7 linked regions of the Oryctolagus cuniculus genome follow. The protein of the gene in region 1 purifies or fractionates together with the protein of each later gene. This does not show direct contact. Links are inferred from orthologs where the notes say so. Each region holds a gene or a part of one and is shown in the gene's direction. Other genes may lie near its edges. The genes, in order: IKBKG, NFKBIB, MALT1, TRAF3IP2, BIRC2, ATM and CNTN2.

Region 1 (4,244 bases):
TTTGAAGATTCCTCAGCGCATATCTGACTCCAGGGGCTACACTTGTTAGACTGTTAGTGGACTCAGAGCCCCTCTTGCTAGGTCTGTGAGGACTGCTGTAGGCAGTGACCACAAGCTTGGTGGCTTAAAGCACCCGAAATGTAATCTCGTGGTTCTGGAGGACAGTAGTTGGAAAGCAAAAAGTCGACAGGACTGCAGCCCCAGAGGCTGAGAGGAGAGGGTTCTCTCTCGTCTCTTCCAGCTTCTGGTGGCTCTGATTTTTCCTTGGCATGTGGCCACATCTCTTTATTATCTGCTTCTTTTTTTTTTTGACAGGCAGAGTGCACAGTGAGAGAGAGAGAGAGAGAGAGAAAGGTCTTCCTTTGCCGTTGGTTCACCCTCCAATGGCCGCTGCGGCCGGCGCACTGCGGCCGGTGCACCGCGCTGATCCGATGGCAGGAGCCAGGTACTTCTCCTGGTCTCCCATGGGGTGCAGGGCCCAAGGACTTGGGCCATCCTCCACTGCACTCCCTGGCCACTATCTGCTTCATTTTTTTTAAAAAAAGATTTATTTATTTGAAAGGCAGATAGAGAGGGTAGGATGGAGAGAGAGAGATGTTCTGTCTGCCGTTTCACTCCCCAGATGGCTGCAATGGCCAGGGCCAGGCCAGGCTGAAACCAGGAGCCAGGAACTTCATTTGGGTCTCGCACTTGGGTACAGGGACCCAAGCACTTGAGCCATCTTCCGCTGCTTTCCTGGGTGCATTAGCAGGGAGCTGGATTGGAAGTGGAGTAATCAGGCCTTGAACCAGTGCCTATATGGGATGGTGGCTTAACCCGTTACACCACAATGCTGGCCCCTTCTGACTGTTTTCACCTGGCTTTCTTCCTTGCATGTTTTCCTCTGTCTTTTGTCTTTTATAAAGACACTTGTTAATGGATTTAAGGCCCACCTGAATAACCCAGCAAGCTCTCATTTTGATCAAGGCCCTTAGTTTACATCTGCAAAGATACTTTTCCCAAATAAAGTTGCATTTATAGGTTTTGGGGCTACCATGCAGCCTACAGTACTTGGGAGGGAACATCCCCTCCGGCTTGAGGGTCTGTGTAAGGGTAGGGGTCCCAGCGCACACCGATGTCTCCTGCTACAATAATCCTTAGTTTTCTGCCTCTGGCAAAGTTCCTGCCTTAGGTGTGCATCCTGAAGATGGGTGCTGGTACAGAGTCCGTAACCAGTGCTAAGCCATGGCCTGTGCAAGTCTCACAGAGGTGGTTCAGCATCTTCCTTCGGAATGAGGGTGTTTGTGACCTCTTAGATCGAAACCCCATTTCGGCCAGAGGGATCAGCATTTTGCCTTCATGGCCCCAGAGCTCCTGCACAGAGTGTACTTATCCTGCTGGGGATGAGAATTCCCCTGGGTCTCATGGGATGCCTTTGCTGCCTTTCTCGAAGAGCGTGCCTTGGATGAGCAGGCAGCCCTGGAAGAACCAGCTGTGTGAGATGGTGCAGCCCAGCGGCGGCCCGGCCGGGGACCAGGACGTGCTGCCTGAAGAGTCTTCTCTGGGGAAGCCGGCCATGCTGCATCTGCCCGCAGAGCAGGGTGCTCCTGACGCTCTCCAGCGCTGTCTGGAGGAGAACCAAGAGCTCCGAGGTGAGGTGGACAGCAAGTAGGTGGGGCACAAAGTCAGGGGATCTGGTCCTGCTGAAGGCAAGGCTTCTCTCGTGCACCTCTGCGTCTGCTGGGTGTGGGGCGAGGGCACCCCGAGAGCCAGCTTGTGCTTCCAGCGTAGCTACCTTGCCTCCTGGTTCCAGGCGGGGTTCCCTGGGAGCAGACCGAGGTGCATGGCAGGGTCAGTACTGAGGCAGAGAAGGGAAGGAGATGGGAGAAAGCAGGGGTGGGCAGCAGAAGTGGGCTGCCTTGGCTGACCCCCAGGGACTCTGGGGCTGGACTGACACTTCCAGGCTGGACCAGCGTGGCCCAGCCTCAGAGGACCTCTTCCCTGGGAGGGGACTCAGACTTTCCTGGGGTGGGTTGCGGTCTTGTTTGAGAGGGGGGTGCTGTGGCCTGTCCTGGGAAGTGGGTGTGGCCCACCCTGAGAGGAGGTGGTGTTGACCAGCATGAGAGGCATGACCCCTGCTGCAGTGGGGTAGCTGATGCCTCAGTTGTGTCTTTAGTTGGCCATTCATGTCCTAGTTGGCCAGTGGCTCTTGCCACAGTTGTAGTCCCATTCCCCACCTCCTTAAGTGAGTGTTGGATGTGATGTAGGGTCTTTTGCTGATGAGTCACGTGCTCTGTGGCCTCAGGGAGTGGTGCTGGCAGATGCCATGCACGCAGGGAGCAGACCTGGGTCTGGAATGTGTGTCCTCTTCCTAGGAGACAGCTAGCCACCAAGAGACTGCTTGGTTTCCTTGAAGGTTGCATTGGAGAGGCCCCGCCTTTTTTTTTTTTTTTTAGATTTATTTATCTGAAAGGCAGAATTACAGAGAGGCAGAGGCATACAGAGAAAGAGAGGCCTTCCATCCGCTTGTTCACTCTGCAGATGGCCTCAACGGCCAGAGCTGTGCTGATCCCAAGCTGGGAGCCAGGAGCTTCTTCTGGGTCTCCTATGCGGGTGCAGGGGCCTGAGGACTTGGGCCATCTTCTGCTTTCCCAGGCCATAGCAGAGAGCTAGATCGGAAGTGGAGCAGTGGGTCTAGAACCAGCGCCCATATGGGATGGTGGCACTGCAGACGGCGGCTTTACCCACTATGCCACGGCGCTGGCCCCGAGGCCCTGTCTTGAGCACAGAGCAGCAGTGTCTTCTACCTCAGTTCTGTTGACCTCTGGGGCCAGCTAATTCTCTGTGGTGAGGGCTGTCCTAGCCATTGTGGCATGGTGAGCAGTATCCCTGGCTTCTACTCACAGGTGCCAATAGTGCCCCTCCAGTCCCCTGGGAGTCACAGTTGTCCTTGAGTGGGACCCACTGTGCTGGGGTCTTCAGAACAAGTCATGCACATAGAGCTGGCAGCCAGATCGGGGCCTCTGCTCATCCCTAGGGGCCCAGAGCATTTCAGAGCAGTTGTGCAGGGCTCATGCCATGGCCTGTGGTGGCTCGGCTCTTCTGCCTCCTAGACTGTGTGTTCAGCACAACAGCTTTGCTAAGTCTCTGGCAGCAAGTGGAGACTTGAGGCTATATTGCCTCCAACTGGGAAGCTGGATAAAGCTTGGGGGGCAGCATGTGAGACCCCCGGGGCCCTGAAGGTGATTGTCCCCCAAGGTGCTCATGATTGTGTCTATAGGTAGGCTGTGAAACCAAACAAGGGAGGGTACAGTGTTTGCTCAGAACGTTTATGAAGAAACTTCCCGGAAGAGCTTGCCTGTATTCACGTGACATGTCTCAGAGACAGAAAGCAGTTGAGTGGACGCCAGGAGTGCGGGCAGGGGGCCTACGGGAGAGAATGCTGCTGGGTTTGGGGTTTCTTTCTGGGGTGCTGGGAATGTTCTGGAATTAGGTAGTGCTGATGGTTGCATGATCTTACAGCTTCATTAGCTAAAAACCACTGGATGACTATACTTTAAAATAGTTAAAATGGTGAATTTGATGTTACATGAATTTTTACGTCACTAAAAAGAAATTTAAAAGACATTGCACACAAGTTGAGACTCGGGTTGAGTGGGCAGGCAGCAGTGATGGCCAAGGGTTTGGAACATTCAGTGATGTGAAACTACTGTCTACCTCTGTTGGATACGGTTCTGTGGTTGCCCTAGAACCTTGCACGTCACTGATCGCTTTTGTCAGATGCTTCTTCCTCTACCTGGGGTGGTCGCTGGGTATGTGGCTTTCCTCTCCTCTGGCCTCTGCCAGCCACCTGCCGCTGGCACTGATATATGCTCATGGCTTAGTCTGGCGAGAAGAAGACTGCTCTTATTTATTTATTTATTTATTTATTTATTTATTGACAGGCAGAGTGGATAGTGAGAGAGAGAGAGACAGAGAGAAAGGTCTTCCTTTTGCCGTTGGTTCACCCTCCAATGGCCGCCACGGCCGGTGCGCTGCGGCCGGCGCACCGCGCTGATCCGATGGCAGGAGCCAGGAGCCAGGTGCTTTTCCTGGTCTCCCCATGGGGTGCAGGGCCCAAGCACCTGGGCCATCCTCCACTGCACTCCCTGGCCACAGCAGAGGGCTGGCCTGGAAGAGGGGCAACTGGGACAGAATCCGGCGCCCCGACCGGGACTAGAACCCGGTGTGCCGGCGCCGCTAGGCGGAGGATTAGCCTAGTGAGC
Region 2 (4,222 bases), on another chromosome or scaffold:
GAATGGGAAGGGGGGTGGGCAGCAGCAAAGAGAGAGGAAAGTTTAGGAAGGCAGGCCTGGGGCTGAGGCTGTACGTTTTTCTCGGAGGTCCCCAACACCCCCCATTCCCCAAGAGGCTGCACCCCTGCAAGGCGGGGCGAGGGGCCCCGGGGGAAATGTCTCCCCTCTGCCACCTCCCCCCAGAGTGGGATGTGGGAACGAGTCCAGCTTCCTCCTCCCCTCCACCATTTCCCCATCTCACCTGAGCCTCTTGCACCTTCCCTGCCTGGGTCTCCAGAGGGTCAGAGGCTGGGGGAGGAGGGGGAGCAGACGTGGTTACAGTGGGGGGAATGGTTAAGAGGGAATGAAGGGTTAAAAGTGGCCGCGGTGGGAGCGGGGGCAGGGGCGGCAAGAAGACCCAGGGTCATGGGGCGGTGGAGTGGCAAAAGCTGAGCGGAGGGAGGCAGGGGAGGGGGCTGGCGGGAGAGGTGGTGAGTAGGGGCAGAGTGGCTGTGGCGGGGCAGGGTTGGGAAGAGAGGCTGGAGGAAGCTTAGGAAGAGTTAGACAGGGCAGAGCAGTGTGTGAGTGTGCGGGGAGGGAGAGGAGGCTCCCAAGGCAGAGGAAGGTTTAGACAGGAAGCGGGGCTCGGGCTGGAGGCGGGTTTGGGAGAGGAGGAGCGGTGGAGGTGATGGCACAGGAACTGCAGGGGAGAGACGGGACGGGACACCCGGGCACCCCTAGCATCCTACGGTTGCCCCTGACAACCAGGTGCTCTTAGCAACCGAGACCGCGGCAACTTTTGTCCTCAGTAACGAGGGTCCTCAGCAACCAAAGTGTGAGAAACACACGATCATTAGTAACTTGGAACACGGACGAGGTAAACGGACCCTTAAAACCTCGCGACCCAGAGACCCGCCACCCCGCGAGTGTGGATCAACCTAACTACAAGCCTCGGAACCCCGCTCCCTCAGTGTAGCCCTGCGCTCCCAGCCCCCCGCGCCCGCCCTCGGGCCCCGGGGCCTGCAGCCCTCGGCCAGGCCCCGGCGCGGCCCGACCCTTCCACCGGGGCCCCCGACTCACGATCCGGCTCGGCCATGGGCTCGGGGCGGGGGCCCTCGGGGCTGTCACCGACTGCTCTGTCCCGTGACGGCACCGGAAACAGAAGGGGAAGGCTTCGGGCATAGAACTACGACTCCCAGCACCCATCTCGGCCGCATACAGGGCTTTCCCGCAAACGCCCCGTGCGCGCCCGAAGGCGGAACTACGAGTCCCAGACGGCCTGGCGGTGGCAGCCATGTTAGTAAAGGGCGCTCGGAAAATGTGGGTATTGCCCGAGAGCCGTCGTGCATCCCAGTGCTCTGATTGGCCACCCTGCACCAAGGGGGCGGGGCGTGACCGATTTCGCCCACTCTAATTGGATTTACCAGGGGGCGTGTTGGGGAATTTCCCGCAGGGCGGAAGTGCCGGAGCTCCGGGCAGAGCCCAGCGGCAGGCGGGGAGCCGCGGGGGGCCCTGAGGTGGCTGGGGGCCATGGCTGGGGTTGCGTGCTTGGGAAAAGGTGCGGACGCGGATGAATGGTGCGACAGCGGCCTGGGCTCTCTGGGGCCGGACGCGGCAGCCCCAGGAGGCCCGGGGCTGGGCGCAGAGCTGGGCCCAGGGCTATCGTGGGCTCCGCTCGTCTTCGGCTACGTCACTGAGGATGGCGACACGTGAGTGAACCTTAGGCTGTTAAACGAAGCCCTCGGATCCGAGGCCTGATTCTCCATTCGTTTCTGAGTGTCTGTGGTTTCCCAACCTGTCACTCCTGAATCTGACTTCCGTTGCGGGACTTCCTGACTTCACACCCCCCCCATCCTAATTTGTAACAAAACCCAGTTTCCGATCAGCTTTGAGCCCGATTCGATCATTGCCGACCTACTTTCCCTGAACCTTGATTTTCATGCCCCCCCCCCCGAACCTACATCCTCCTAACCCACTGATCCCAAAACCCGATTTGACCTTCTGACCCCCAGTCCTTAGTAGAGTTGGGGCTCAGGCTGTGGCTCCCCACCCCCCCATAGCATCTCTGATCTGAGCTGCTGACTTTGCTTCGGGGGACCCTCGGCCCCCGCCTCTAAGAGCCTGCTCCTGGGCTCTGATCTTCCCGGCTTCAATTCCGAGACAGCCCGTGAGCCACGGGAGAGCTGAGGTGGCCTTGCACCTGACCCGGGTCCTGTCTGAGCCATGGACAGTGAAGGAAACAGAAGCTTTGGTGTGGCGTGGGGGCCGGGGGTCGCGGTCACCAGGGGCGGAGCCTTCTCTGGGTGGGAGGGTAGGAGGGAAGAACCTCCCAGGGACAAGACTGTAAAGGACCAGCTGGGCACCTTCTCTGGGTTTTGTGGGGTTTTTTTTGCCCGTTGATTGCTGGGTCCCCAGAGGCTCAAAATAGCGCCTGACCCACGTCTTCTCCAAGAACCAGCGAGGGTTTCGCTACTTTTCTCCCTCTTTTCACTTTCTATTTCATTAGCCCCTAACCTGACTTTTATCTTCTTTCTTCTGAATCTTGGGTTTAATTTATTCTTTTTGTAATTTATTTTGTTCTTTTTTAAATTTTTTAAAATATTTATTTATTTATTTCGAAAGGCAGAGTTAGAGAGAGAGGGAGGGGAGAGATCTTTCATCCACTGGTTCTCTTCCCCCAGAGAGATTAAATGGCCATGGCTGGGCCAGGCCGAAACCTGGAGCCAGGAGCCTCTTCTGGGTCTCCTTAGCGGGCGGCAGGGCCCACACACTTGGGCCACCTTCTGCCGCTTTTCCCAAGCTATGAGCAAGGAGCTGGGTTGGAAGTGGAGCAGCCGGACACGGAACCAGAGCCCGTATGGGATGGGTGTCCCAGTGGTGTCCTCGCCGCGGCCATAATGCTGGCCCTGTCTTTTTGTGATTTCTTAGGATGAAAGTTCATGTCATTGATTTGAGAGCTTGCTCCTGTTTTAATGTAGGTTATTGAGTACTATGAATTTTCCCCTGAAAGCTGCTTTAGCCTTGTCTCACAATTCTGATATGTTGTATCTTGATTTTCACTTAATTCAGTATTCCTTATAATTTTCTCTTTTGAATTCTTCTTTGACCAGTAGATTTAAAAGTCTGCTATTTGGTTTCCAGATAGTTTAATATTTCCAGGTATTTTTCTGCTGCCAATTTTCAATTCCATTGTGGGCAGAAAACATACTTTGTACGTTTTAAATTCTTTTAAGTTTTTTGAGACTTGTTTTACGGCTCAGAATGGTGTACACACACTTAAAATACTCTGTACCCTGTGGTTAATGTAGCGTCCTCTGCATATCAGTTGGAGGCTGTGTTGGCCCACAGAGCTCCAGGCTGCTTTGTCCTTGGTGATGGTTTTTCACTTGTCTGTCAGTGGTTGAAAGGGAAAGTCTGAGAGCTCCAGCTGTAACTCTGGGTTTGTCTGTTTCTCTCTCTAATTCTGTCAGGTTTTGCTTAATCTAGTTTGAGGCTCTGTTATCAGGGCACAGATATTTAGGATTATGAAATACTGTTACTCGATTCATTGATCTCCTTAGCGTTTTGATATTACCTTCACTATCTGTGGCAATATTCCTGGCTCTGAAATCTACTCTGCCTGATTTTAAAATACTCCTTTATTTGAAAGAGTGAGAGAGAGAGAGAGAGAGAGAGAGAGAGAGAGATCTTCCAACCTCTGGTTCATTCCCCACATGGCCACAACGGCTGGGGCAGGGTCAGGCCGAAGCCAGGAGCCTTCAACTCCCTCTGGGTCTCCCGCGTGGGTGGCAGAGGCCCAAGCACTTGGGCCGTCCTCTGCAGCCTTCCCAGGTGCATTAGCAGGAAACCGGATCAATAGCGGAACGACCAGGACTAGAACTGGGGCTCTGGTGTGGGATGCTGGCGTCACAGCGGCCGCTTAACCCCCTGCGCCACAGCACTGGCCCCTGTTTTGTTATTTTAGTGGTCACTTTAAGACAGCAGTTGGCAATGGAGCCTGCCACCTGGTTTTGAGTTAAGAATGGTCTTTATATTTTTTTAATTTTTAAAAAATAATCAGCAGAATAATACTGCTTGGTAAGTGGAAATTTTATGAAATTCATATTTTGGGCCCCAATAATAAATTGGAGTGCTCTTTTATTTGCATATCGTCGTCCATGGCTATTTGCAGTAGCAGAGCTGAGTGGGTAGAAGGGAGACCATGTGACCCACAAAGCCTAAAGCAGTGCTCTGTCCCAGTACA
Region 3 (3,500 bases), on another chromosome or scaffold:
GATCCCAAAAGCTGCTGCCGGGCAGCACGTTGATTCTGCAGTGTGTTGCTGTGGGAAGCCCTATTCCTCACTACCAGTGGTTCAAAAATGAGTCACCCTTAACACATGAGACAAAAAAGCTCTACATGGTAGGAAGTTGACTTTTGGGGTATTTGGACGGGAGAGGGGCTGGGAAATGTATAAAACAAATGATATAGTTGAATTTGAAGTGAATATTAAAACTGATGGGGCCAGCATTGTGGCACAGTGGGTTAAGCCACCACCTGTGATGCTGGCATCCCCTATGGGCACCGTTTGTGTTCCCTCTGCTCCACTTCGAATCCTGCTCTCTACTAATGTTCCTGGGAAAGCAGCAGGAGATGGCTCAAGTACTTAGGCTCCTGCCACCCGTGTTGGGAGAGCTGGATCAAGTTCTGACTCCTGACTCCTGACTCTGGCCTGGCCCAGCCCTGGCCACCTGGCCATTGTGGCCATTTGAGGAGTGAGCCTGTAGATGGAAGATCGGTTTCTTTCTCTCCCCCTCTCTCTATAACTCTGCCTTTCAAATAAATCTTAAAAAAAAAAAACAAAAACAAAAAACCCTGATATGCATTAGAATGTGTTAATGCTTCCGGTGTTTTTACTTCAGGTCCATTTAATATTGATTCTTACATTTGCAAAAATACTGGAATTCAACAGGGGCTTCTTTGTAAAATGTCAACTAGTTTTGCATAAACTCACCAGTGTTAAGATCATTTTATCATTAGCTTTTTTTTATTTAAGTTAGTGCATAATCTAAGAATGTCTGAAACTTTCTGAAATGTTTTGTTTTGGAGGCTTTTTATTTTAAAAAAAAATACAGTTCAAATTAAAGTTGAAGAGGAAATATGTATGTGTTCTGATACCAACGTAGGTGCCCTATGTGGATTTGGAACATCAGGGAACCTATTGGTGTCGTGTGTATAATGAACGAGACAGTCAAGATAGCAAGAGGGCAGAAGTCATCATAGGTAAGCAGTATTGCTCAGTGTTCTGACAAGTGGAATGTAAAATGAACCGTATAAACTGAATGTGTAAGCAAAGGAAATTCTGCTTTTCCCCTAGTACCATTTAATGGTATGTTAAGTATTAGAAATTATTTTGTTTATATAGAAATTTGAGAGAGTGCATACTAGATCCATAATCTAAGTTCACATCCAAAGAGCAAAAAACCAGAAAAATATCGTATTCACGTTGTTTTAGTTATTTTTAAATTTTATAGTTTATTTTAAATGCACAGCAAAAAATGTCTTCTTTAAAGCTTTAGCTACAGAAAACTCAATTTGGTTACAAAATATTTTAATAAAACATTTTTATAAACATCATGGGGGAAGACATCTGGCCTTCCAGATGCCTGTATCTCTTATCTGAGGGACCGTACCTGAGTATGGTACACACCTCCAGCTCCTGACCCTGATTCCAACCCTGCCAGTGCAGACCCCGGGAGACAGCAGTGATGGCTCCTGCCACCCTTGTGAGAGACCTGGATTGAGTTCCTGGATCCTGGCCCAGCCCCAGTTGTGGTGGGCATTTGGGAATGAACCAGGGGATAGGACCTCTCTATCAGTCTTTCTCTGTCTCTCAAATTAATAAACAACTTTTAAAAAAAATAAAAAACCTTATACAGACGAAAGACGTAATTATCAATTAACAATTCATATTCTGAACTGCATAATTGGGAGTTTATTCTATTTAAGCTAATTGCATTTACAGTTGCATTGTTAACAAATAGGAGATGTTGGTGTGTGTTGGCTTGCCAACATGTCCCTATGTATTTATCTCTCTGCTTGATGGCTGCCCTTCCTAAGATGGATTCCACTATATTCACATTTGTTTTCTCTGACACAAGGAAGAACAGATGAGGCAGTGGAGTGCACTGAAGGTAGTGTCGTTCTTTGGTCTGAGACCACATCTTCTGCATGCGGGTTATTCTCGGGACTGCTGGAGGGTTCTAGTTCTCTGAGTGCAGTGATGGAAAAAATACTTACTCCAAGAAGCTGTTTTTCTTGGAGGATATTGTTTCTTGGTCTTTGAAGCTTTATAAATTGCCATGAAAACTACTGAACAGACACACTATGACAATAACTAATCTTGAGTTAATATTGATTCCGTTGATTTTCTGTTGCATAGGAGAACAAAGTTCCTGCATAATTTTTGAATAGCCAAGATTTTCAATGAACTCTTATTTTTATCTTCATAAAATTTATTTTTTAAAAAAATGGATGACTATACTGTCATGGTTATTTGTTTGGATTATTTTATCTATCCTTTAGCCAGAATAAATTGCCTTTCAAATGCTGAAATAGTTTCTGTGGAAGCTTGGAGACAGAAGATTTATTATTTAACCATGTTTATCAATATTTCTAATTATATTAATAAGATATTCTGTTTTAATCTAAAATCATGAGGATTTTATAAACTCTAAGGCTGTAGATTAATCTACAATGTCACCTTTACCATAATATATAAAAAGAACTGAAAATATTTCAACATAAACTAATCTAAGCATTGTGCTTAAATTGCAATGAGTAAATATTAAAACATAGATCACCTTCTCTTGGTGCAAACATTGGTTTGCATAATTAGGTTTGTGAATAGCAAAGTATTTTTTCAATTTCTGCCTCTTCAAACTGTTATGTAACCTTGGGCTCTTGTGTAAAGCAAGAAAATAGTGTTAAGTCTTACATTTCTTGATTTTTCTGTCCTTCATCTCCATAACATCAGTTTGGCAGTCCTATAATTACTGTCTTCATACTAATAACTTGGTTGTAAGCAAGAGGGGATTCTAATCACATGGTCTGTTAACTCTACCTGGGTGAAGAAATCCTAATCAAACTCCTCTTCCTCTCTTCTCTTTTTTGCCTAATTGACAGGCAGAGTGGACAGTGAGAGAAAGAGAGACAGAGAGAAAAGTCTTCCTTTGCCGTTGGTTCACCCTCCAATGGCCGCCGCGGCCGGCGCACCACGCTGATGTGATGGCAGGAGCCAGGTACTTCTCCTGGTCTCCCATGGGGTGCAGGGCCCAAATACTTGGGCCATCCTCCACTGCACTCCCTGGCCATAGCAGAGAGCTGGCCTTTAAGAGGGGCAACCGGGACAGAATCCAGCACCCTGACCGGGACAAGAACCCGGTGTGCCGGCGCCGCTAGGCGGAGGATTAGCCTAGTGAGCCACGGTGCCAGCCCTAATTGCATGGTTTTTAAAACTCACATTGGAGACCTCTAAGAATGAGTGTAAGCTCAGGGTAATTCATGGAAATTATCACCTTGACATGCTGCTTCTATACCTGTGAAACCTCCATATTTTTGTAGTGTTGAATGCACTGTGAAGTAATAACTTTCAAATATCTCTATTCAGAAAATGTAAAGATGAAAATCTAGCTATAAAGTTGCTCTAGAATTTCAGATGGAAATATCTTTTTCCAAAAATGCCTACAAAGTCCAAACATTTTATGGTTAATTGATGCATATTCTGAACAGTGT
Region 4 (3,500 bases), on another chromosome or scaffold:
CGGCTGGAGCTGTGCTCATTCGAAGCCAGGAGCCAGGAACTTGCTCCACATCTCCCACGTGGGTGCAGAGGCCCAAGTACTTCGGTCATCTGCTGCTTTCCCAGGTGCCTTAGCTGGGAGCTGGATTGGAAGTGGGGCAGCCAGGACTCAAACTGGCACCCAGATGGGATGCTGGTGCTGTGAATGGCAGCTTAACACGCTCCACCACAGTGCTGGCCCTTATTTATTTATTTATGAGAGACAGAGACACAGAGACAGAGAGAGCACATGCTCCCATCTGCTGGTCTCACTCTCCAGATACCAACAGCCAGTGTCAGGTCAGGCTGAAGCCAGGAACAGGGAACTCAATCCATGTCTCCCATGTGGGTGGCAGGTGATGAGCCATCACCACTGTGTTCCAGAGTGTACATGATAAGGAACCTGGAGTCAGGAGTTGGAGCCAGGAATCTAATCCAGGCACTCCAATATGGGCTGCAGGCTCTACCTAGATTTTTATTAGAGTCAAAGGCATGGAGGGGGGCTTCCAAGAGAGAAATAAACACCCCTACCTAGATTTTTAAAATCTTAACGTGTGGTCATAAGTTTCAGAGTTTTTTTTTTTTTTTTTTTAATGGAATAAAGCCTAAGAATTACAGTTTTGGTCCCGCTACAAGTTAGGATTCAATCAGAGAAAACAGGAGCAGCTCCTGCTATTTAAGCAGAAGGGGAGTTAATACAGGGAAATGAGTGCTTACAAAATTGTTGGAGGTTGGAGAAGCAAGCGTTAGTTGGACTTGAGCAACACTATAGAATAGGACCACCCCGTGCTCCACCCCCACAACCAAGGGTGCAGCGAGGAAGGTGGGAATCAAAGTCAACACCACCACATCCTTGGCAATGGCTGGATCTGCCCTGGAAAAAGTGGGTGCCCAGGCCCTGCCCTGAACACCTGTGACCTCATGACTGTGCTTATCAATGGAAGCCACGTTCTCCTTCCCTTCTGCCTCCCACACCCTCCTCCTGACGGTTCATCTCAGCACAACGTTTGTGGCAGTGCTGGCAGCCAACATCATCACACAGAAGCCGTGTTGCAAAGGTTTTCATTCATATATTAACAGCAGGGGTCCTTTTAAATCTTCATGGCCTCTTTCACCTTTTGATACATAATGGAATGTTACCCATCATGAGCTAGAAGGTACCTCTTTTTATTTGAATGCCCTTAACATCAGCTGTCCGTGTGTTGTGGGTGACCTGTGTGCCTTGGGAATGAGACTTAGTTTCCCAACTAGTCCTTGAATGGAGAAATCAGAACTGCTTCCCCCTCGCCACAAGGAGCTCAAGGCCAGCTTAACTGCTGTTGATTTAGGCTCCCTGGGGTGCCCCTCTTCTTTCTGTCTTGGCTAAGCAATGGAGGCAGAGGAGAGCGATCTTCCGCTGATCCCTTCCCATGGTTCTTAGAGCCTTAGCGCCCCTCAAGGTTTGCCTCCATGCAGAATGAACATTTCCTTGAAACGTGTTCCTCCGCAGGGACCAGCCGAACCCCCAGCTGCCCAATAGGGCCGGGCTTCTGGAGGAGTCCTCGGAGCGTGCCCAGGCTCTGTCCCCAGCTGCTGTACCTCGACGCCCCAGCAACACTGCAGCCAGAGGCACTCTGAGGACAAGCAATTTGCCAGAAGAGTTGCGTAAGTTGTTTGCAATGCTGTTTTCGCCTTCTGCTTGTCAGTCTTGTCGACTCTGACCTCAGAGCTTGCTCATAGACACGGGGAAAGAAAATGTCCTTCTTTGCTTCTTGCTTAGAGAGTAACCCGCGTGTTGTAGGAATGTTTTCAGTGAATCTGACACCTCCAGAAATGCTCACACACTGCTCACCGCTAGATTTTCCTGAACACATACTCCAACAAATAACGCCAACGCTTTTGCTCTCTGCTAAATGATGCTCTGGGGCGGACTAGTCCCTGGGTAAATTGATTGGCCGTCCATGGGGTATTGGACACGGACCTGGTGTCTCACCGTAAACCAGCAGCAGCCGTCAAGAACGAGGTCATTTCCTGTAGGAATGAGCAATCTTGTTTGGAAAAAAAATCGGCCTCGCAGTCTCCATACTGCTTCACAACCACAAGCCAACTAAGGCTTTTATTTAAGGAAACATTTGGCTGTGTCAGGTGATGATTCTTTTTCCACGTTTTGCTGCCAGAACCAGAAATGTTGAAATATCACCAAAATGTTCTCAGATTAAGGTCAGTCAGGAGAGTTCGTTCCAGAAATCTTAAGAAACAGCACTTGTGAAACTATTATCAGTTGTGCTTGCTAGAGAAGCTCAGATTTTTTTTAAAGATCTATCTGTTTGAAAGGCAAGGTTACTGAGAGAGAGAGAGAGAGAGAGAGAGAGAGATCTTCCATCTGCTGGTTCATTCCCCAAATGGCCACAACAGCTGGGGCTGGGCCAGGCTAAAGCCAGGAACCTGGAACCCCATCTGGGTCTCTCAAGTGAGTGGCAGGGGTCCAAGCACTTGGACCATCTTTCCCAGGTGCGTTAGCAAGCAGCTGGATCAGAAGTGGAGCAGGCAGTACTTGAACTGGTGCCCATATGGGATGCCAGCATCCCAGGTGGCAGTTTAACCCTTTCTGCCACAGTGGTGGCCCCAAAGCTCAGGGGCTTCTAATAAGCCCTTGTCAAATCTGGGTGGCTCTGAAGCCCTTTGCCTTTGTCAGCTCCTTTTGGGGAATCGTAATCTGCAGTCAGTTACAACTCTGAAAGGTTTCCATGGCAAGGAACCGTTGTTGCCTTCATGCCAAAAATGTTTCTTAGCATCTTAACACCTTCTGCATTTTAATTCTGAGCATTTCTGGAGAGCAGGTGCTGCCCCGCACAGGAAACAGCCCTGCTGTCAGTCCGTGGATCACGCACGTCTCATCATACTCCATAAAGGGAGTCCTCGAATCACTTGAGTAGGAATCAGAGGAGTGTTAGGGGGAAGAAGAATCGAACACCATCCCTATGCCTTGCTGCTTAAATGAGTGAATGTGATCCACACACACACACACACACACACACACACACATCTATGGGAGTTGGGGCTCCAAGACACAAGAGGCGAAGCCCCGCGCTCAGATGAACACACAGATGCCTATTTTTCTCTCCCCTGTCTGCCCCAGGGGATTCCTGCCATGTAACTGGTCCCACACACAGAGATTATTCGTGTGTTGTGCACAGTCTTCCCCTAAGACGTTAGCCTGAGGAAACACTGGTTGTGGTCCTGACTGGGTCCAGCCGGTCCCCACTGTGCCGTCCCCAGCTCTAAGCGGGCTTAGGGCTCGGTGAAGGAGTGTGTGAGCCACGGGGCTCCTTCCAGCACTGGAGTTTTTACCGACATTTCTGAGCTATGTTTTTAGTCAACTCCCACTTCCTGGCCTTCCTCCCAAAGTAGGAGGTATGTGTGTGTCTGTGTGTCTGTGTGTGTGTGTGTGCACACGCACGCTCATTCTCCCCCTACTTGCTCTTGTCAGGCCAGAGTTCAGGG
Region 5 (2,893 bases), on another chromosome or scaffold:
GCTATAGAGACAGAAATCTTCCATCCACTGGTTCACTCTCCAAATGATTGCAGTGGCTGGGACTGGGCCAAGCTAAAGCCAGGAGCTTCTTCCAGGTCCCTGGCACTTGGGCCATTGTCCACTGCTTTTCTCAGGCCATTAGCAGGGAGCTTGATTGGAAGTGGAGCAGCCAGGACATGAACCAGAGCCCAATGGGATGCTGGCATTGCAGACAACAGCTTTACCCATAATGCCACAGTGCCGACACCAAATGAAACAATTTATATTCAAAGGCTTGTGGAAATAAAGTGATAAAATGCAAATAGAAGTCAGTATTATTAATTCTTGGTGGAAGGAATACAGAAGTAGGACACTACTGTCCTATGAAATTCTATGCTTGCTTTTTACAAAATAAAGGAAAAGTGAGGTTCTAGAACTTATAAATACATATGTTTAAAAATTATACAGACCCAATATATAACACACATGTCTTAATCTGCAAGTTTTCTTTTTTTTTTTTTTTTTTTTGACAGAGTGGACAGTGAGAGAGACAGAGAGAAAGGTCTTCCTTTTGCCATTGGTTCACCCTCCAATGGCTGCCACGGCCGGCGCATTGCACCAATCCGAAGCCGGGAGCCAGGTGCTTCTCCTGGTCTCCCATGCGGGTGAGGGCCCAAGGACTTGGGCCATCCTCCACTGCACTCCCGGGCCTTAACAGAGAGCTGGCCTGGAAAAGGGGCAACCAGGACAGAATCCAGCGCCCCGACCGGGACTAGAACCCAGTGTGCCGGCCCTGCAGGCAGAGGATTAGCCTATTGAGCCACGGCACCAGCCTAAATCTGCAAGTTTTCCAAATGACACATTAAAATGCATGCAAGTCATTTTGTTTGTTTTCAAGCTCTACTTATTTAGTGCCTAAAGTATTTGTAGGTTGGTTGGTAGTGACTGTACAGTATAGTTAGAGGTGTTTAAAATCTAACATATTCTCCCCCCCCCCTTTTTTTTTTTTACATGAAGACGACTTGTCATTAATTCGGAAGAATAGAATGGCTCTCTTTCAACAGTTGACATGTGTGCTTCCTATCCTGGATCATCTTTTAAAAGCCAATGTAATTAACAAGCAGGAACATGATATTATTAAACAAAAAACACAGATACCTTTACAAGCAAGAGAGCTGATTGATACTGTTTTAGTTAAAGGAAATGTGGCAGCCAACATCTTCAAAAACTGTCTGAAAGAAATTGACTCTACATTGTATGAGAACTTATTTGGTGAGTTTTTTGGGAAGATCATTTTAGAAATCCTTAGGCTTATGTTCATGTCTCCTGACAGGAAAATAATTATAATCAGCCAACTATAATCTGTACATTTTACTTGTTCCAAAAAAAATGAAGTCTTTTATGGCCTAAGTAGTATGCCTGAATTTGAAAGTTTCTGATCAATTATAGGTAAAAATCGACATTATTCAGTAAGTAGTGGGTACAAAAAAAAAGTGGTTAGTAAGTGAAGCAGTTTTCTGTTTGGTAGAGTGATATCTTATGTTTTCTTTACTCAGTGGAAAAGAACATGAAGTATATTCCAACAGAAGATGCTTCAGGTAAAATAAAATTTAAGACTTGAAACCAACTTAAAATCTTTAATTACTGGAAGGTAAACTGGAAACTGAATTTTATTGAAATTCTTTTTGTTATTAGGTCTGTCACTGGAAGAACAGTTGAGGAGGTTGCAAGAAGAACGAACTTGTAAAGTGTGTATGGACAAAGAAGTTTCTATTGTATTCATTCCCTGTGGTCATCTTGTAGTGTGCCAAGGATGTGCCCCTTCTCTAAGAAAATGCCCTATTTGCAGGGGTATAATCAAGGGTACAGTTCGCACATTTCTCTCATAAAGGAAAAGTAGGCTATGTATTACCCATGTAGAAAAGTCTTTAAAATATTGAGCATTTGAAGCCACCTGAAGTAAAAAAGGAATTATTGGTTCTTCAATCAGATAGATTCATGTTCTGCTTTGCTTTGGTATTAATAATTTTGTTTCCAAAAAGATAGTGTTATGTATTTAATCTTAGAATCTGTTTATTTGCAAAGGAAGATTTCTGTTTGAAGAACTAAGTTATTATCTATATGTGGACGTGGGAGAAATAAAAGAAGTAGTGTCAGTGCTTCTTAGGTATCATTTCAGGAGTTTCTAGATTTGGTGTTCCTTCTGCAAGCTTTGAGTAGTGCTACATGAGAGTGTGGTTTACAGAATTGGAAACCAGGAACTTGAGCTCATCAGAATGATGGTACCAAATTCTCTTTGGTGCTTTTTACTTGTGTTGTAAATTAAGGATTTTTTCTCTTACTGATAATAAGTTTTCCCCTAGTTTGTGAGAAATATCTTAATAAAGTGTTTAAAATGGATTGCATTATCAAAATGATTTTTCCTGTCTTGATTTTAAAAAGTAGTTTTGTTAAATTCTTCATTGCATTCAAATGCTATTAAGTAAAAAATTTAATTAATAAAACAAGTGCTTTTTAAAATAATGTGATTTATGAGAACTCCTTTAGATGATACTCTCTAGTTGCTTTGTGTAATATTGATGTATTGTTGAATGGAAAATGAACCAGTATGCTGTTTGATGTCACAGTTTAAATCTCCACTCCGGACACCTGTATCCCATAGGGGGTGCCTGGTGTGAGTTCTGGCTACTCCACTTCTTTGATCTAGCTTAAGTAACTTATTTTTAAATGCTGTGTTATGTTAATATAACACTGCTGATGAGAATTTTAAGAAAATTTAAGAGTGGCATTGTTACATTTTAGCAAAGCTTTTAAAGTTTGTCTTAGAATAAAACAGATGGATTCTTGTACCTGCTTCTGCATAATATTATATTTTGGTAAAAGTATGAAGAAAATCCAGTCTCACAGGTATGTA
Region 6 (3,975 bases), on another chromosome or scaffold:
GGCCCCGTTTTTGAGCTTAAGTGGCTCTCGTTGCTAGCAGTACAATCTTCTTTATTCTTTGAAGGGACAAACAATAACAAAAAAACCGTCTCCCACACAGACAATACACCCTGACAGACAAGTGGCACAAATGGAGGAAAAGCTAACTAGGGCGAGAAAACGTTCAGCTGGAAGGCACTTCCCTTCCGTAACTGTTCGCTCATCAAAGCAATAGGAATTGCAGCTGCTTTCAAATTTGCAATTGGCATTTCAACCCTCTACACGGGAGGACGTCCTGCCGGGAGGATGGAGGAGGAGGACCACCCCCACTCGTCCCAAATCCGGAGTTCTAAGGGTTATGAGAAAGACGTCACGAAGGTCTTTCTACAAAGCTGGGTGGCCGGGAAGTCCTTATTTGTCCTATTTTGGTCTCAGCTCTGACAAGGGAAAGTACGCGCAAGGTTGAAGACGACGAAGTCCGCCCCGTCACGTAGACAACTCTCTTTCAGGGGTCCCAGTGAAGTGTGCAGGCCTGACTTTCCCTCCGAATCCGGGCCTCAGGTGTTGCCCTCCGAGCTTCTCTCCGGCTCTCCCCTAGACAAACAGCCCGAGCAGGAGAGCATCCACACACAACGAGGCGTACGCGACCAGGGCCAGCGAGCGACGGAAAATCACAGCCAGTCCGAACTTGCAAGCGGGGAAGCAAAACCCCAAGGCTGCCCCACCAAGAGAAAGGCTTTAGCTCCGAAGCGCCTTCCCTCCTTCTCTGCCTGGCCCAGTAACCCTCCCGCCAGCGTCCGCGCTTACCCAATACTAGCCGGGCAACGTCCGAGGGTAACAGCATGATCGACGCCGCAGAACGAACCACAATAAGAGACGAGACGCAGGTACAGAGAAACACAGCGACAGCTCCTACGCCGCATCTCCCGGTTCCAGTGGCGGCACTGAACCCGCGGCAATTTGTCCCGCCTCTTTCGCTCCACGGCAGCCAATGGCTTCCGCCAGAGAAAGAAAGGCGCCGAAATGAAACCCGCCTCCGTTCTCCTTGGAACTGCCGTCACTTCCGCCCTCAGAGTTGGAGGGGTGGGGCCGGAGAGCGTGAAGGGGCGGGGTGCGAGCGCCGGAGCAGCAGCCAGAGGGCGGGCGACTGACACAGAGTCGCTAGCCATTGGTGGGCAGCGCGCAGGCGCGTTTCCGCAGACGAGCAGAATGTTTTGGGGGTGCGCAGTGTTGGGCGACGGAAAGCGCGTGATACTTGTGCGCATGAGCAGAGTGTGCTCTGTGGCCTGTTAGCGCTTTCTTCCGAGAGGACGCTGCGAGTTCACGCGGCGTTTGAACCGGAAGCGGGGAAAGCTGCGGGGATAACGGAGTGTGGAAGCTGTGGCAACCGGAGGTGGCGAGAGGAGCTGGGGGATCCGTGCTGCAAGCCGCCGCCGGCACTGCCTGGGCCGTCAGAGTCTAGCGGTAGGGGTGCGGAGCCACGCAGTGACTTGTGTATTTACAGAACTGAGTCGTATTGGACCCAGTCTGTCCTTTTCCCCCGACTCCTAATCCCACGCGCTCTTTCAGAGCGGCCCGTGAGCGCTCTCTCCCTCGTTATTCTCGCTGCTGCTGCGGCTACTCACCGCACTCCCTCCGAGCCCCCTGCGGCGTTATCCTTGAACTTCCTTTTAAGTCTTCTGAATTGAGTTCTCCTTTCTCCGCGTCTGCTTCTCCCGTGCCCTTAGGGTTCAGATTCAACTAGGCGATTGGAGTAGTTACCTTTTTTTTTTTTTTTTAACCTCGTGTCATAATTGGTACTTTTAGTTAGCGAGCATTTAGTGAGATTTTAACTATAGCCTCGTGGTTAAGAATGTAGGTTCTGGAATCACAGTACCGAGTTCGAATTCTGCCAGCTGTTTGACATCTTCCTTGGAAAATTACGTGAGGTAATCCTTCCCTGTGGTGAGCCCTGCAGAGCTGTTTTCCCAGGTGCAGATAATTAACTACACTGCAAGGTGGATAATGTTCTAGAAGAGCAGTTACAGGTCCTGTGGAAACTCGGCCTGGAAGAAACACTTTAGTTTGCCGGGAGCCCTTGCAGTATCTAAACTGCCTTAGGGGATAGTAGGAACTTTCCAAACAGAAAGAAACTTACCTGTAAAAGGCACATGGTAGAAGGTTCTTGAAGATCAGGGGTGAGATCTAGTATTGAAAGAAATAGGTTCGGGGAGTTTTCAGTATGTTTAGGTCACAGGAATGAATGAGACCAAGGAGATAAGGATGCTGCTTGAAGTGGGAAGGGAAGAAATATCGAAAGAGACTTATGGAGCAATCATAAAGGAAGGGAATTCATTCTGATAACTGTTAACGTGGTGACTGGCTGTGTTCCAGGTGCTTTGCTAAACATGCACCTGCATGCTTACAACAAGTTTTTGGGGTAGATGCTAGTATTGTTTTTATCATTAAGGTTTGGACACATGAGCTAACTTGCTCTGGCTGGATTAATACACATTGACTACAGAGCCAAGAATTGCATGCCAAGGACAAAGTTATTTCTAGGAGGATGGAATGGGCATCATTGTCAACGTTCTGCAAAGGGATTAAGCTGGTTAATAACAACGAATATTGAATGCGCCGGTGCAGAGCCTGTTATTTAGGAAATTTGTGTTGTTTCTGTGGAATATGAATGAATCGTAGGTAGTCTGGATTAATGTATAAGTGGGGTTTGTCTTTATCTGGTGATACTTTTACTCTGACTGGCTCGTCTCCACCTCCTCCAACCTAACATACTCTTTTCCATCTTAGTGCCCTGGCGTTGTGCAAGATTACTTCCCTCAAATGTCAGTTCTTCAGCTCTTTATATGATTGGCACTGGTTTATTCAGATCTTGACTTTCTTTTTATACCTTCCTTTGAGATGTTTCCTTATAATTTATCTAAAATGGTCCTCTCTACTGGTTTTTTCTATTATTGTTTAAGTATTAGTTTCTTTCTATTATTGTTTAAGTATTGCTTTCTTTGAGGCAAAGATGAAAGCAAGTATTCTAAGATGTCCTAAATTTAATTACACAGCTAGAGAGTGGAGAGGAGAGAGAAGTTAGTCAGCTACCAGTTTTGGCCAATCAAAACAAAAAAAAACTGCTCGATGTCCTGAATGCATGTTGAAATTTTAACTCCAAGGCCATCAAGGCAATCCCAACTGATTAGGAATAGCTAAATACTTAGAGACTGCCTTCCTGCCTTTTAGTTGTACTGCCACTCTTCTCTATATAGGCTCATTATAAACAGTTTATACTTTCTTTTTCCCAAACTTTGAGTATAAAATATTTTGGTTTTTTAGATCCAGCAAAAAAACCTTTCAGACAGCTCTCTGCTGGTGGTTACAGGAGCTTCTAGACCACTCCTTTTTTCTGGCTAGTTTCTGTAATTGCTCCCAAAACCCTTTTATTTCAGAGTATTCTTCGTATTCTTCAGGTTTTTTTTTTTTTTTTTTTTTTTTTTTTAATTTGAAAGAGTTACAGAGAGAGAGAGAGGTCTTCTATCTGCTGGTTCACTCCCCAGATGGTCACAACGGCCGGAGCAGCACCCATCCAAAGCCAGGAGCCTCTTCTGGGTCTCCCACGTTGGGTACAGGGGCCCAAGGACCTGGGCCATCTTCTACTGCTATCCCAGGCCATAGCAGAGAGCTGGTTCGGAAGAGGAGCAGCTGGGATTAGAACCTGTGCCCATATGGGATGCCAGTGCTTCAGGCCAGGGCTTTAACCTACTGCCCCAAAGCGCCGGCCCCTAATATCCTTCAGTTTTAAGAATTTGGTTTTTAACAGTATACATCACATTTTGGAATTATGCATTGATTTATCAGTTTGTTTATTTTCTACCTCTAGGTAGAATTTCATGAAAGCAGGATTTATATGTTTCATTGATTTGTCTAGCTGTCCCTGATATAGTACCTTGAGCACAGTAGTACATAGTAAATATTGTTTGTATCAATGAATGAATATCTTCTGTTTATTTA
Region 7 (4,232 bases), on another chromosome or scaffold:
GGGCTGATTGGGCAGCGTCAGGGGGCAAGGTTCATTTCAGGGGCTCAGGGCCTACGCGCAGGCCCGCAGAGAGACAGAGAGGTGAAGTCAACACTGGCAAGGCAGACAGGAAGGATGTCCTGGACGTGGTCCATGGTCCTTGTGCCTGTCTCTGTCCAGCACCGCCCCAAGTGGCCCCCGGCATCTCCCGCAGGAACAAAGAGGACCGGCTCCCAAGCTGGGGAAGCCCTGAGAGGGGGAGCAGAAGGAAGGGAGGGGAGCGCCTGTGGGGCTGGCGGCAGGGCCTCCCGCGCTCCTGCTTTGAACCTCTCACGCCAGCCCCGGCGGGTGCCCCGCCACGCTCCAGGCTCGACAGGTATGGCCATCTGAAGCTTGGAGGCTGGCCTGGCCCTGCCAGCTGCTCGGCATCTGACCGCTCCCCAGTCCTGCGTGTGCAAGCTGGACAGCAGGCGGACCAGAGGGGGGCGAGACGGCAGTGGCAGCCTGACAGGCCGACTGGTGCTGCAGATGGCTGGTCCCCACCCAGCCTCCCGCCCCCACCCCTCCAGGCCCCGGCGTCCTGCGTGCATCTCCACGAGACAGGAACAGAGCAGGAGAGACATGCCACTAGCCAGGGTAAGCACCTGGACTCTCAGACCTGCCAGGGACCGTGGTCACCTTTAACTCCTTCAGTTTACCAGGAAGGCTCAGAGAGGGCAAGGCGCTTGGCCAAACACACACAGCCGAGCAGAGGCAGAGCCCAGAGAACTCTGTAGACATTCAGAGTGCCTGGTCTGGGACCTGTTCATGACGTCACACTGCTAGGGGGTTAGGAGTGAACTGGCCTGGACGCACATGTACTCATGCGGAGACTGATGACGCGGTTACAAAGTAGCCTGCAGATGGTGATGCACCGTGGAATCCCATTGTCACAAAACCCCACGAATTCCGCACACCAATAGCAAACCTGGGGCGTGGGCTCCAACTTGCTCAGGGCAATGGCTAAGGGAATTTTACTACCTATTCTAAAATTTTCCCTGACGTTGGGCTATTCTGACCAAAAGCCCAGTGCTATTTTTGAGCACGGGAAACAATGGAGAGGAAGGTGACGCGGGGTGAGCGGCAGAGGCGGCCGCTCCGTCCCACTCGCCGCCCGCAGCAAGCTGGGGACTTCAGATTCGGATCCGTGCCTCTCACGGGCGACTGGGGGAGTTGGGGCGCCACGGGTCTCCCCGGTCGGAGGAGCAAGAGCCACTTTCCGCCTCTTCACCCCACCCCTCTGCAGCCCCCCAACTCAGGGCTGGGGGAGGCGAGGCGGAGGGGGGCTGGGCAGGGGTGCGGAGGGCGGGCGGCGCTGGCCCATGCATTATGGAAGACGGTGACAGCAGATGAGGGAAAGCCGGGAGGGTGGGGACGGGAGGGGCGGGAGGGGGCAGGAGGAAGCCATCTCCAGGGCCCGGGCGCCGCCGAGGACCGGAGCCAGCCAGTGAGCGGAGCCGGGCAGAGGGAGGAGCACATCTTGATGCAGAGATGCTGCAGTGGCTCCAGGCGCGCACACACACTCGCGCCCTCGGCCGCCGCCGCCGCTGCCGCCGCCGCCGCCGCAGCGCCCAAGCCGGCGGGCGCCCGGAGGAGCGGGCCCCACGGCTGCCAGCCCGGCCGAAGGGCTCGCCCGCTCGGACAGCGTCCACCTGCGCCAGCCCACACCCTCCTGTCACCCCAGGTAGGGGCCACTCCTTTTTGTCTCCTCCAGCCCCGGGGCTGCCCGGGCACTGCCACCGCGGGCAGGGGCTTCTGGAAATATCCCTCTTGTAACTTGGGAGGGGCCGGGAGGGGAACACCCAGCTGGCCGGCAGGGGCCGGTCTGACTTCTCAGCCCAGCCCCAGGGTGGCTCCCCACCCCCACCCCCACCCTGTGTGCGTGGGCGGCATCCTGCAGGGCCTCCACAGCCCCAGCTGACCGGAGAGCCAGCCCCCCGCAAAGTGTCCAGGAATTCCTGCTGGCCGGCTGCTCAGGGAGAGGGCAGAGGCTCCTGGGCCATCCCCGCCCCGTGTCCAGGTCCGCCCAGTCTCTGAAGCTGAGCCCTGGGCTCTGGCCTGCCCGGGACAGGTCCAAGCATGGAACTGAGCTGGAGTCCCTGGGATTTGGGGTCACCCGGGGCTGCCTCTGCAGGGTTGACCTCTTTGTCAAGTCTGGCCTCCGCTGGAGGTGGGGGTGGGGGCTGTGTGAGAGAGAGGAAAGAGTGGAGCACAAGTTTGAGCGAAGGCCTGACGGGGCGCTGGGACTCCAGGAGGGGAAACTGAGGCAAGTCACATCCCCGAGGGTGGGGGCTGGGGCTCCCTCCCTTCCCCCTCCTCTCCTCCTCGCTGGTGGGAGGGAGGGCTTTGCTTGAAGTTTGTCTTTCCAGTGAGGCAGGGGGCTGGGGCCAGACAGGTGTGAGGAGGGGGGAGGGGCACGGCGGGGTGGGGGTGGGGCTCTGGAAAGAGCACCCTGGGGCTTACATAATGAGCCAGAGGTGTCCAGAACTGAACCCTGCCACCTTCCCCAAGGGCTGGGAAGCCAGAACAGGGGCTGTCGCGAGGCAGTGGCTGGGGAAGGGGAGCGTCCCGTGTTATACCCTTCAGTCTGGGTCTCTGGGGGGCTGTGGGTCAGCACTGTTGGGTGGTCTGGGGGTGGGGTGCCGGCAGCCGGCAGTGCGCGCCATGGACCTCAGCTCCGGGCAGCAGTGGGTTGGAGAGGAAGGGGGCCAAACAGCACCACCCCATGAGCACCTGCTCTCAGTGTCCGCCCGGGAGAGCCTCTCAGTCCACTTAGGCTCCGAGTCCCTCTGCTGCCTCGTCCCATGGCCCACCCAGAGGGACGGAGACCAAGGGCAGCAAAGGGTGGACACCTGTGGGAGAGGCCAGTCTGACCGCACTTCCTGGGGGTGGGGCAGGAAGACAGCTGGGAAGTCTGAACAGGTGCCTGGCCTTGGGAGAAAGAAGTGCCTGCTAGTTAACCCCTTCCTAGCCAGGCTGCTGAACCTTGACAGGGCTTCTGCCACAAGGTCATGGGGAGTCCGTCACCAGTAAGAGAAAGGCAGGAGGTGAGACAGATGGGAAGGGGTCCCCCGAGCTGATGGTACCCATCACACCCAGGGAGCGAGGGAAGCAGAGGAACACTGCCCAGGAGATGCTCCCAGCCCCGCCAGCTGCACGCACACTGACTCTGCCCTCCCTCCGCCTCCTGCCTGGCTGAGCTCTTCCCTCGCACCCCTCCCCTGGTCCAAGCCCAGCTCCGGCTGCGGCCCCCACGCCCCGCGCTGTCCCCGCCAGATCTCACTCCCTTATGCAACTCCATTCCAGCACCTTCTCTCCAGCCCTCATTCAAATAGACTCCCGTGGGAAGGGCTCGCGGGCATTGCGCTCGAGGGGTGGTGGGAGCTGTGGCTGACCACGCGCCCCACGGCATCCTCTCCAGTTCTGAGGCCATCGGGGTCGGGGGGACCACACAGGTGGGATGGGGTGGAGGGTGTGGGTTCCCCGCCAGGAGCCTCCTCCCGAGCCAGTGTGGTAGAGAAGGTGAATTTCTGGGGGATCTGTGAGCCTGGGTGTGGGTGGTATTTGTGTTCTTGGAGGGACTCCTAGGGCAAAACTAGGAGAGCGGTAAAGAGGTGGTGGAGAAAGGAGGCAGAAGCAAAGCTGTCGTGAAGCAAGGTGCATTCGAGTTAGACTGCAGGAGACGCCTCCTGGGCCGTGGCCATGGCGGGGGGTGGGTGTGCTCTCCTTCAGGATGGGGTCTGGTCCAAGGTTAGAGGCAGCTGGGACAGGGCTACCTCTCCCAGCTGCCAGTGATCCTCTCTCAAATGGCAAAAGGCGGGTGAGCCTAAGGACCCGCTGAGAAGCCAGGCACATGTCCGCCCCTCCAGCTGGCTACCTCGCCACCTGGACCAAACCCCCAGGGCCGTGGCCAAACCTGCGGCACTGCAGGGTGTTCCGGCGTGCTCTGCGGCCTGGTGGTCACCATCCAGAGCCAAGAGGTTCTTTCTTTGGTTTGCTAAGTCCTGGCTACAGAATTCGCCCATTTGCTTTGTCTCCAAAGAGGGAGCAAGCAAGCACAAGGGCAGGTCACGTTCTCCAAAGCCCAATAGCCCACCCTGGGGTACACGGGAGCCCCGTTGCACCCTGTGGGAGTCCTTCCTAGCTCAGAAGCCTTTTGCCTCCCATGGACGTCCACCCTCCTCCACACTCAGGGCGCCCCGAGAACTTCCCAA

What was found.
Region 2: the proteins of IKBKG (region 1) and NFKBIB purify together in Homo sapiens (affinity purification with western blotting; 5 studies listed by BioGRID and IntAct, with this or other methods). This does not show direct contact. The link is inferred for Oryctolagus cuniculus from reciprocal best matches to the Homo sapiens genes IKBKG and NFKBIB.
Region 3: the proteins of IKBKG (region 1) and MALT1 purify together in Homo sapiens (affinity purification with western blotting; 4 studies listed by BioGRID and IntAct, with this or other methods). This does not show direct contact. The link is inferred for Oryctolagus cuniculus from reciprocal best matches to the Homo sapiens genes IKBKG and MALT1.
Region 4: the proteins of IKBKG (region 1) and TRAF3IP2 purify together in Homo sapiens (affinity purification with western blotting; 3 studies listed by BioGRID, with this or other methods). This does not show direct contact. The link is inferred for Oryctolagus cuniculus from reciprocal best matches to the Homo sapiens genes IKBKG and TRAF3IP2.
Region 5: the proteins of IKBKG (region 1) and BIRC2 purify together in Homo sapiens (affinity purification with western blotting; 6 studies listed by BioGRID and IntAct, with this or other methods). This does not show direct contact. The link is inferred for Oryctolagus cuniculus from reciprocal best matches to the Homo sapiens genes IKBKG and BIRC2.
Region 6: the proteins of IKBKG (region 1) and ATM purify together in Homo sapiens (affinity purification with western blotting; 7 studies listed by BioGRID and IntAct, with this or other methods). This does not show direct contact. The link is inferred for Oryctolagus cuniculus from reciprocal best matches to the Homo sapiens genes IKBKG and ATM.
Region 7: the proteins of IKBKG (region 1) and CNTN2 purify together in Homo sapiens (affinity purification with western blotting, with the first as the bait; 3 studies listed by BioGRID). This does not show direct contact. The link is inferred for Oryctolagus cuniculus from reciprocal best matches to the Homo sapiens genes IKBKG and CNTN2.

The regions. Positions count from the first base shown.
Region 1 is NC_091453.1:132,763,712-132,767,955, forward strand, and holds the start of IKBKG (NF-kappa-B essential modulator), read left to right. Parts: upstream 1-1,444; coding exon 1,445-1,631; intron 1,632-4,244. UniProt on the Homo sapiens protein: Regulatory subunit of the IKK core complex which phosphorylates inhibitors of NF-kappa-B thus leading to the dissociation of the inhibitor/NF-kappa-B complex and ultimately the degradation of the inhibitor.
Region 2 is NC_091449.1:15,862,007-15,866,228, reverse strand, and holds the start of NFKBIB (NF-kappa-B inhibitor beta), read left to right. Parts: upstream 1-1,422; 5' UTR 1,423-1,509; coding exon 1,510-1,688; intron 1,689-4,222. Other genes in the region: SIRT2 (NAD-dependent protein deacetylase sirtuin-2), read right to left, coding at 1,060-1,275. UniProt on the Homo sapiens protein: Inhibits NF-kappa-B by complexing with and trapping it in the cytoplasm.
Region 3 is NC_091441.1:19,722,751-19,726,250, reverse strand, and holds part of MALT1 (mucosa-associated lymphoid tissue lymphoma translocation protein 1), read left to right. Parts: coding exon 1-128; intron 129-892; coding exon 893-989; intron 990-1,867; coding exon 1,868-1,900; intron 1,901-3,500. UniProt on the Homo sapiens protein: Protease that enhances BCL10-induced activation: acts via formation of CBM complexes that channel adaptive and innate immune signaling downstream of CARD domain-containing proteins (CARD9, CARD11 and CARD14) to activate NF-kappa-B and MAP kinase p38 pathways which stimulate expression of genes encoding pro-inflammatory cytokines and chemokines.
Region 4 is NC_091436.1:60,012,890-60,016,389, forward strand, and holds part of TRAF3IP2 (E3 ubiquitin ligase TRAF3IP2), read left to right. Parts: intron 1-1,506; coding exon 1,507-1,661; intron 1,662-3,500. UniProt on the Homo sapiens protein: E3 ubiquitin ligase that catalyzes 'Lys-63'-linked polyubiquitination of target protein, enhancing protein-protein interaction and cell signaling. Transfers ubiquitin from E2 ubiquitin-conjugating enzyme UBE2V1-UBE2N to substrate protein.
Region 5 is NC_091432.1:94,088,540-94,091,432, forward strand, and holds the end of BIRC2 (baculoviral IAP repeat-containing protein 2), read left to right. Parts: intron 1-996; coding exon 997-1,251; intron 1,252-1,535; coding exon 1,536-1,577; intron 1,578-1,674; coding exon 1,675-1,868; 3' UTR 1,869-2,393; downstream 2,394-2,893. UniProt on the Homo sapiens protein: Multi-functional protein which regulates not only caspases and apoptosis, but also modulates inflammatory signaling and immunity, mitogenic kinase signaling, and cell proliferation, as well as cell invasion and metastasis.
Region 6 is NC_091432.1:99,975,900-99,979,874, forward strand, and holds the start of ATM (serine-protein kinase ATM), read left to right. Parts: upstream 1-1,175; 5' UTR 1,176-1,907; intron 1,908-3,975. Other genes in the region: protein NPAT, read right to left, coding at 787-823.
Region 7 is NC_091444.1:20,419,922-20,424,153, forward strand, and holds the start of CNTN2 (contactin-2), read left to right. Parts: upstream 1-1,432; 5' UTR 1,433-1,509; coding exon 1,510-1,702; intron 1,703-4,232. UniProt on the Homo sapiens protein: In conjunction with another transmembrane protein, CNTNAP2, contributes to the organization of axonal domains at nodes of Ranvier by maintaining voltage-gated potassium channels at the juxtaparanodal region. May be involved in cell adhesion.